Linked DNA regions of Arabidopsis thaliana. The protein of the gene in region 2 interacts with the protein of the main gene of each other region in a pairwise test. Each region holds a gene or a part of one and is shown on either strand. Other genes may lie near its edges.

Region 1 (5,028 bases), on a different chromosome or scaffold from region 2:
AACAAGAGACTTGTCTTGGACCACATCGTTAATCAATGTTGTTTGTTGTTTGATGTTTACTTTTTTTTTTTTACTCAGTTTTGAAAATTCGATAAGTATTCTAGCTCTAGAATTCCATATCTAGGTTTTTTGTTTTCTCCTAGATAGTCTGAAGAATCAATTGTAATGGTCTGTGGAATTACACGGAAACAGTTTTGTTGTAATAATGGAGCATCAGTTTTCTTTGGTTGAATGAAAAATCATAATTTTTTTGACTTTTTAAGTTGAAAACTGCAGAATTACATGGCTTGATGATGTTTGCATTGTTAATCTCTATTACTCTTCAGTGTGCTCAGTGCCTGAAACCATAGCTTCCTTGATAGGGATCAATGTATTGGTAAACCAAATTGTGTAATAGTTTTTCCATAAAATAGATTCAATAGAACCAGTGTAACAAAAAATTATTAGGGGGCTCTGTTTTAAGGTCGCAACATGACGGTGACACAAACATTTTTTAGTGATTAACTTGTTCTCATTCTGTTCCAAGTTCAACAACACAAACTGAGTTTTTTGGCTTCTCTATCAGAGAACTAATGTGATTCTACAACACAACCTGCTCTGACTGACTTACTCTGCTATGTTCTGTTTTGCTCTGCTCTGTTCTCACTTCCACGTCTCTGTTTTTGTCATTGACATTTCGACTTGTAGGAACTTAAACATTTAGTGGATTGACTGGCAAGATTGATCCAACCTTTTCCAATCTTACATCCATAAATAAGTTGATATTTTTTCTGGTTTTTATTTGGCAAACACTAATGCACCCTAGGGTTCAATGAGATATATATATATTACACTAACACAAGTACACAACCAAATGTTATTGTAGGGACTTGTAATAATTTAACAGACCCAGATTCCTCACAAATTCTACCAAATTTGCGAGTCATTCAAGCTAGCAAACATTATCATCTATAAATAAATAGTTTTCTAAACATAGTAAAGAACATAATTTTAAAATTCGAAACGTTCCTGATAAATTTTCTTCTCACATTCTAAAGAACAAAAGTATAGATCAGCTCCGTCCTCGGGAAGCGTACGAACGAAAGGGAGCTTGCATCGAGAGTTGCACACGCAGCAAAGTGGTCTACAAATAGAGTGGTTGGATACAAATGTTCCTATCCATGTTAACGCTCCTGGCATGGAATATGCGTAAGTATCTATAACGCAGGAAATATGCAATGTGATCCCACACTCATTGCATGTATAGAACCATTTTTCTGGGTTCACAGTTGTTTCGCATGCTTCACACCAATATTTGCCAGCCACGCCCATTTCGCCATAAGATAAGAAGAGAGGATGATCGTCGTACCTATGCCTCATTACCTTTTGCGGTAAAATAGCACACTTGAAGCACAAACCAAATTCACAATCATCGCAACTCAATTTCCCGTCTCCATCACACTCACTACAACGTTTGGAGTGATCTGTAGAGTAGTGTAAAGGATGTTGATGGCTTTTGTGCTCAAATGGTTCTGTAACTGTAGCGCACCGTACATCTATCCTTAATTCCTTAGATTCATAGGAGAAACCGGTGAACAGTTGACGGCAAATACTACACCTATGTAACAAGTAGGTGCCATAATTTGGGGATAGTTCGAGTGGCTGGTTGTGGCACACATGACGTTTCTTTAAAGGAAGCTTGGCACATTTTTCGTGGATTATGAAATCGCATCTCTTTCTCGCGCAAGCGTAGAACGGTTCTGAACAAATCTGGAAGACACATGCGGTACAAACTACACTTTCTGGTAGATTCCAGCCACGGTAAATTCGTAAGTTATGCTTATGGCCGTAATGGTCTATCGTGTTGTCATCAATCACCTTGAATGGCGCAGTTTCCTCTTCTTCGGGTGTCCCTTCCAGTTCGATCATGTCCCATACATCCCTTCTGGTTGCGCATCTTGAATGAACAAAATAATCAAAACATTTGGAGCAAGAATAAGCCCCGTAGAACCCATCCACATTTTTACGACAAACTCTGCATTTCCCGTCTCCATGTCCGAGGCGAGGGGTGTAAGAGATGCGGTGGTCGTGGCGGTTGATGTTTATGACGCGAGGTAGATCGATACATTCCCGATGAATCATGAAATTGCACTGAAGACAGAAATAAGGGCTACGGTCACCTAGCGTCCCACAAGCATTGCAAGTGAAGTCAATGCGTCTTGGAACAAGGTGAAGTTGATGTTCATGGGTCCTCGGGCTTTTAACAAGAACCGGTGGTGGGTTTTTCATACATGATCTGCATATGCTAAAATTACAAACACCACAGTGGTGAAGCTGGCGATGGATTCCATCAAACTCCTCGCGGCAAAGAAGACATTTCTTGTCGGCGTAACCAGGGACTTCATATCTAAGTGACTTGAGTGGGTGTTGGGGGTGAGAAGTGTGGTATGCTTCTGGACTATTATGATCGATACAATCCAGACTGATGAAAAACTCGCATTGATGACATGTGTAGAAATGTTTCCAGCTATTATGTTGATGGCCACACCCTTTGCAATCTCTGAGTGTTTCGTGCGCTTCATGGGAGAGTTGGAGTGGATGCTCGTGTAGGTAGGAGTTTTCAGCAAGAACAAGTAGGGCTGGTCTCCTCGCGCAAATCAAATCCAACTGGAAATCACATTTGTTACAGCGATAACCGACACTGAAAAATTCTCCACAGAAACTACAATTAGAAACTCTGGTATGTAGGAGGATCAGCTTGAGAGGATGGACTGGATGGTAAGGGTGGTCGATTTCTGGTAACGGCTTGGCGCACTCTTCATGGAACACAACATCACATCCCGGCTCATTGCATCGGTGTCCTCCGTAAATGTAACTGCAACCGGGATGTTTGGAAATGAAGCTTGTATTATCTTCATCGGTCGAGTAGCATCCTTTACACTTGGTGAACTCGAAGCGTGTAAAAGGTATCAACGGATGCTCATGAAATGGTAACAATTTTTCAAGGCGGGATGCTTCTTCGTCCATGCCTTCATTAAACAAAGCTAGAAAGTTTTCCATGGTGATGTTTTCTTACTTCCACCAAAACACAAAGCTCTTCTCTTCTGCACTAGTTTCAGACTTGGTTTCTTGTTTTTCTCTCTTTCTTTTCTTTCAGGATTTTTTTTCAAGTGGTTTATCATTTTCAGACTTTGCAAATAGTTAATATGAATTCGCACCACAGAAATGATTCTTTTCATTACTGAGATTGAGACCACATGTGTTGGCTTCATCCTTGCATTATTTAATTAACTCAGACCACATATGTTGACTCTGCAACTATTGTGTCCGGCCAAAACATAAATAATTGAATGAATACAAAAAAGGTTTTTTCTTGCATTAAATGGAATAGAAGTTTATGGATAGAATAGTTTAGAATTTAAATGGATGGAACTGTACATTTTGTGGAAAAAACAGTTTGAAGTCTGAACCACACAACTCCTTGGCCAAGTAGCTTTGGAGGTAGACTTTGCTGCATTCAAGTCTCTGAAACCAAAGTTTTATTATTGTATTGCATCCACTAACTTTTATGTAATTTCAGACCAAAAGATTTGTATTTTTGTCTTTAAGACCAGGATTGGGCCAATCTTTGTTTTTTAATTTTTATACAGCCAAAAGTAAGTTCTATTTCCACCATCAGATTGTATAACCCATTTGAATAACACTATAAAGTTAACATATATATACCATCTGAAACATTCGAAGAATCATTTGTCAAATCACATGTATTCAAATCACTCAGAGCAAATTTTGATTAATAAAGAAGTTAAAAAGACATACTGCGTATACATGAGCTGCTCTTGCTTTAGCACAAAACAGAGACCAGATTCCAGTTCCAGCTCTAATGTCAAGAAACTTGTTCTTTTAAATATCCTGTTAAGAAATTCTGTTTCTAAGATCATTGAGACTGCTGCTGACTGGATTCAAAAGATTGATAATTGTGGAAAAAGCGCATAAGCTTGAGGTTAAAAAAAAACTATTGTAAAACATACTTTTGGAATTAAATGGTACAAAGTTTTTCTTCATTAAAACATGCCTTACCAATCACTACTAGAGTAGTTATTAGAGCGGTTGAAATTATAATAACAGTTTAAAGAACAAATGTATAAAACAACATCGGCTTTGGAAACGACCTTAACAATGGAAGGAAGCTTGCATTGAGAGTTACACACATAGCAAAATGGTCTACACATAGAGGTGTTGGATACCACCAAGTCTTCCTCCCATCCTATTTTGGAACCTGGCATATAATATGAGAAGTCTCCCACAACGCATGAAATATGCAATATGACACCACAATCATTGCATGTATAGAACCATTTCTTCGAATTCACTTTTGTTTCACATGCTTCACACCAGTATTCTCCATCCACACTACTTTCACCACACGACAAGTAAAGAGGATGATCGTCGTATCTATGCCACTTTACTTTCTGCGGTAAAAGAGCACACTTGAAGTCCAAACTATAGTCACACTCATCACAGCTAAAGCTTCCTATATCTAGATCCATGTTTTTGCCACATTCCGTACAAGACTTAGAACTACGTTTCGAAAAGTATAAGGGATGTTGATGGCTTTGGTGCACCAATGGTTCTCGAATTGAACCACATCGTACATCTAGAGTAACCATACGAGTAAGACACTCGTACCTGAAACCGGTGAAACTTTGCCAACAAAGATCACATGAAGTTTCGTCTGAAGTATCATTTGTGACTAGGGTAAATGGTAGGTTGTCGCAAACATGCCGTTTCTTCCGAGGCAGGTTAGCACATTTTTGGTGGAGAATGAAGTCACAATTCTCGCAACTGTAGAACGCATCTGAACAGATCTGGAAGACACATGCTTTACATAGTGTGCTTTCATGGAGAATCCTCCCATCCTTGTTGATTACTAAGTTATGATCATGGCTAAAATGTTTGATCGTGTTATCATCAATCACCTCGAATGGCGCATCTTCCTCTGGCTCTTCGGGTGTCCCTTCTAGCTCTATCATGTCCCATACATCCTCG
Region 2 (4,500 bases):
AAAAGTTTGAATTGACGTATAAAGTAACTTGGCTTGCTCTAAAACATCTTTCTCTGACTTGACAATCCAAGAGAACTTTGATGTTCTTTCAAGCAAGAGTGCTATGTTGTACACTTTTCGGTGGATATCGAATCATAATAAACTTTGCAAACTCTCTCATGTCACGGGTTCATGCTACAAGAACAGCTTCAAGGAAAAGTTTTCAAAACATTATTTGGACAAACCCAACAGTCAAAACTCAAAACATTATTCAGACAGTTTTTCTAAGGAACAGGAACAACTATAGAGAGGTTTGTTTGAAGCAAGTTGAAAACCCTACCTAAACCATATGATTCAGCAAGAGTATCTATCATGCTATTATAATCTTTAATTTTTTTAGCAGTCTAGGAGGGCTAGAGAAGAGACCGCAGCAAGGAAATAATTGAAATGTGAAAACTTGAAACATGACTTACTGATTCACAATTTAAGAATCTTCAAGTACAAACCCACGTCTCTCTAGAATCCTTGATAAAATACTCTTTAAACCTGCAGAAACTGCAAAGAGCTGGATAATAACAAAGTGCTATATACAATGTCTCAAAAGGTATGGCGCTAAACAAAACCAAATACATGATATATCTCTAAAAGGAAGATACATATACTTGATAAAATGATTCAGCAAGAATATCTAGATGGATGCAAAGCACATGTTTGATAATCTTCTTGTAACTACTAGCTTTAGCTCAGATCGTTATAATCTGATTTGTCCACAATTGAACAGCCAATAGAAGAAAGACCATACACCAAAGAAACCCTTAATGTAGTTAGAACTATCAAGTGTATTGAGGAACATTATGCACATGGAGAACAAAACAGAGTATCTAGACAGTTGGTTTCTTGATACAGGGCTAAAGTAATCGGCTTTGAACAAAAGTCTTTACAAGTCTCAAGTAAAAACTTTTGACATATGAAACTGATATATACTTCAATGATCCGGTTCGAACATTTTACGAGAAAACTATAATTGAAACCAATTGATCATATGATAAAATAAATTGACAAGAATCAACAGTTCCTTTTTAACCTTTAGTTAGCACTCAAGAGAAACAAAAGAACTCTCAAAACTCTTCTTCTCTACTCGTTCTTCCAAGCATACAGAATCAATGAAAACCCAAAACTTTGAGATTTTGAGCTCGTGGGGACCTGTGTGAAAGACCAGGTCTTTTCAACAGATTGACAAGTCCTGAACATAAACACTGCATTTCCTGGTGATGATGGCAACCCAAAGAACCAACTGTGGACATCCCAGAGAACTTCCACAGAGATTCTATTGACAATTATGGTATCGTTGCCACGGAACTTCCAATGAAGCCGCTGCACTTGCATCAAGATCTTTCCATCGACACGAACAATGAGACAAGGATCACTGAGACTAGTGTCACACTCGATCACAAGATCATGAGTTTTGCCATCACCTGAAAACTGAGCTTTAGTTGCAAACGTTCTCTTGCCAAAGACATGCTCTTTCTTAGCAATGAACACAGCACCTAAAGATGAAGAAGGTGCAGCATTCGTCTTTTTAAAAGCTTCTTTCTTCATATCACCAAGAAGAAGAACCATCTCTTTGTCAACAACAACTCCAACATAGAACCCTCCTAAAGGTTCAGGGCTGGATCCAAATTTAGCAGACGAGAGATCCCAGAAAACATCGATATTACAGGCATACGCCTCTAGAGTCTTGGACCCTTTTCGTTTAGTGAAGAGCCACGGCTTAATCTCGACTTTACACAGACTTCGGTTGCAAGAATCATCAACCCCCACGGTAACACACTGACCCATCAGATTCTTAGTCCATGTGACTGTGATCAAGCAAGTCCTACCTCGGATGCGGCAACGGTAGATGCATATTACCAAATTCTGAGCATTTCTTCCAGCGCTCGAGGAAGACGAAGAGTCCGCAATCTGAACACCATTTTCACCAGAGCAAGAAGGAAAATCTCTCATTTTTTTTTCCTTACAGAATTCCCAATTTCGAGCTTCTCTCTCTCTCCGGAATTTCAACAAACACCTTGTGGCCAAAACTGGGCAACGCTGAGAAATTCAAAGGCGGCGAATTTAACTTCAGTTTAGTAACGAAATTTCGTAAAAGCAAGTGTTTAGACTATAGGATTTACCTGAAAGTGATAAGTTTCATCAAAAGAAAGAGAAACCCAATCTCAAAAAAGCATCGAAATCTGGAAAAATGTCAACAGATTTGATCTGGGTTCTATCAAATCGATCCAGTTTCATCAACCAAGGAGAGAATGAGAAGTTAAGAGAAAGCCTGAGACTCCGGGAGAGAGAGAGAGAGAATGCACAAAAGGCGAAATTCGCCAAAATAGAAGAGAATGTGTGTGTGCCTACTACTGTAGTCAAAAATAAAAGACAGAAACAGACAAAAAGGAAACTTTGTTTTCACTGTCTGAGTCATTTTTTCTAAAAACGTTAAAATAATTACCCGATTTTCTTGGCAAAGTACCAAATTCGAATTTAATTCAGCGGAAAACGACTGTAACAATAAATTTCGGACAAAAACATTATTTACATTCTTTTCTTTTTTACATCATCTTAGATTTTAATCAAAAAATTTACAAACTTTGGTTCGAACTTTGTTATTTTTGACACAAATACTCACATTTTCTTCTGTGCTTTAAGTTAAATAATAAAGGGTTTTAACTTTGTCTCATTATAGTGAATTTTTTATGTATATTCTTAAAAAAAAAAGTAGGATAAAAATTAAAAAAGTATATGAAAGGCTGGAAGGAATGGTTGCCACGTGTGGTATGATAACCATTGGTATCTCATGACTTGTAGTAGGCATGTAGTTAATACCCACGATTGAGCCCACTCTCACTGCTCTCTTGGGCTTTCGCTAATGGATTAATTAGTCATATACCGTTTTTAGAGGTAGTTTAGCGATTGAATTTTTCATACGATAATCAATCATATGTCTTGACTCTTCATTCCATTGTCAACCAAATAGGTGGGTGAAGAGCATATGTTTAATTATCAAAACGAACAAAGTTATCATACCAAATAGGTTAAACTGTTTCCTTTTGTTTGGCAATGCTACCGCAAAAGTCTTGGAATAATTAATTATCATTATGTATGTTTCCGATTGAAATTTGGACCAACCTGTAATAAAGCAGGTCCCAGTAGTTTAACATTATTTTCTTGGGATCTGATTTTTTATTTTTTTATTTTATCGTAGTCTCATTTTCGTTATTAATATTATCGTGTTGTTGGTGTCGTTTGTTATTTTATACTAGTATTGATTTAAAATTAATAATATGTCTCCCTATCTACTTGTGAGCGACGGACATCTTCTCAAAACAGAAGATAAAAATGCAAATAAAAAATCCTAAACATTGACAAAGATTGTAATTTGTAGGATGAGTCGTTTCTTTCAAGAAGCTATAAAATCTTAAAAACGTTAAAACAAAACAGAAATAAGTGATACTAGGATTTAACCCGTGGTACACCACGGGACAAATATTTTATTTATATATATAATAATATTAAATTTTATGGTTTTAATTTAATATTAAAGTTATATAATTTTATATTAATATTGTAAATAAAAAATTAGTGATGATAAAATAATAAATAAATATTTAACCCGTGTTATATCAATCCAAATCCGCTTCACTATATAACTTGTCTCATGATATTTTTATTATTATTTGTTTTTTGGGCAAAATATTTTAATTATTTTAGAAGTTTAAATTTGGAAAGATTTAAATGATTTTAAGTTAATTTTAAGTTAGTGTGTAGTATATTTTAGTTTAGATTTGAAAAGATTTAAATGATTTCTGTGACTATTTTTCTTTTTGTTTTCTAAATTTTAGTAACAAAATTGATTTATATTTAGATTTAAGAATAAATTTATTAAAATATTAAATGCCAATAGCATTGGATTGTAAATAAACCTCAATTTCAGGATTTATGGATTTATTTCATAAAAGTGTTGCAAAAATATATATATATAGATGTTGCCAAACAAAAATATTGTTTTGGGTCTCAGCCTTTTTAAATACACCAGCCCATATTTGATTCGGATTATCATTTCTTGAGACTTAACAACGAATAACCGAGATTATAGCCTAAACGTTTTAGGCGGCTAACCAGAGAATCAATTTCTATGTCTCTCAACTCAAGTGAAAAGTTAAAACTCTTTCTTTCGAACATAAACTAAAAGGTTAGGAAAGCTCGAATCAGATTATTAATTTTTGGTAATGTGAACTAAAAGTTTAGTAAAAAATCGTTTCAATCTTTTTCTTATCTAAGTACCATCTAAAATGGGTTTAGGCTCAATTCTTCACCTAATTTCATTTCGAATAGGTTTTGATCATATAAAAAAGAAAAAAAATTGGTTAAGCGCACTGAAGACAGTTGTTAGCACCACAGAGTTTTATGAGGAGAGAAAGCATCATACATCATCACAAACAAGTTTCTTCATCGCTCATTGTTAGTCATTAGTAC

Evidence for each region. The genes of interacting proteins can lie anywhere in the genome.
Region 1: the proteins of AT3G04860 (region 2) and AT2G19650 interact in a two-hybrid assay, tested with the Arabidopsis thaliana proteins (one large-scale study listed by BioGRID).

The regions. Positions count from the first base shown.
Region 1 is NC_003071.7:8,492,665-8,497,692, forward strand, and holds AT2G19650 (Cysteine/Histidine-rich C1 domain family protein), read right to left. Parts: upstream 3,229-5,028; 5' UTR 3,040-3,228; coding exon 991-3,039; 3' UTR 805-990; downstream 1-804. Other genes in the region: AT2G19660 (Cysteine/Histidine-rich C1 domain family protein), read right to left, coding at 4,056-5,028.
Region 2 is NC_003074.8:1,338,236-1,342,735, forward strand, and holds AT3G04860 (hypothetical protein (DUF868)), read right to left. Parts: upstream 2,389-4,500; 5' UTR 2,154-2,388; intron 2,071-2,153; 5' UTR 1,984-2,070; coding exon 1,114-1,983; 3' UTR 592-1,113; downstream 1-591.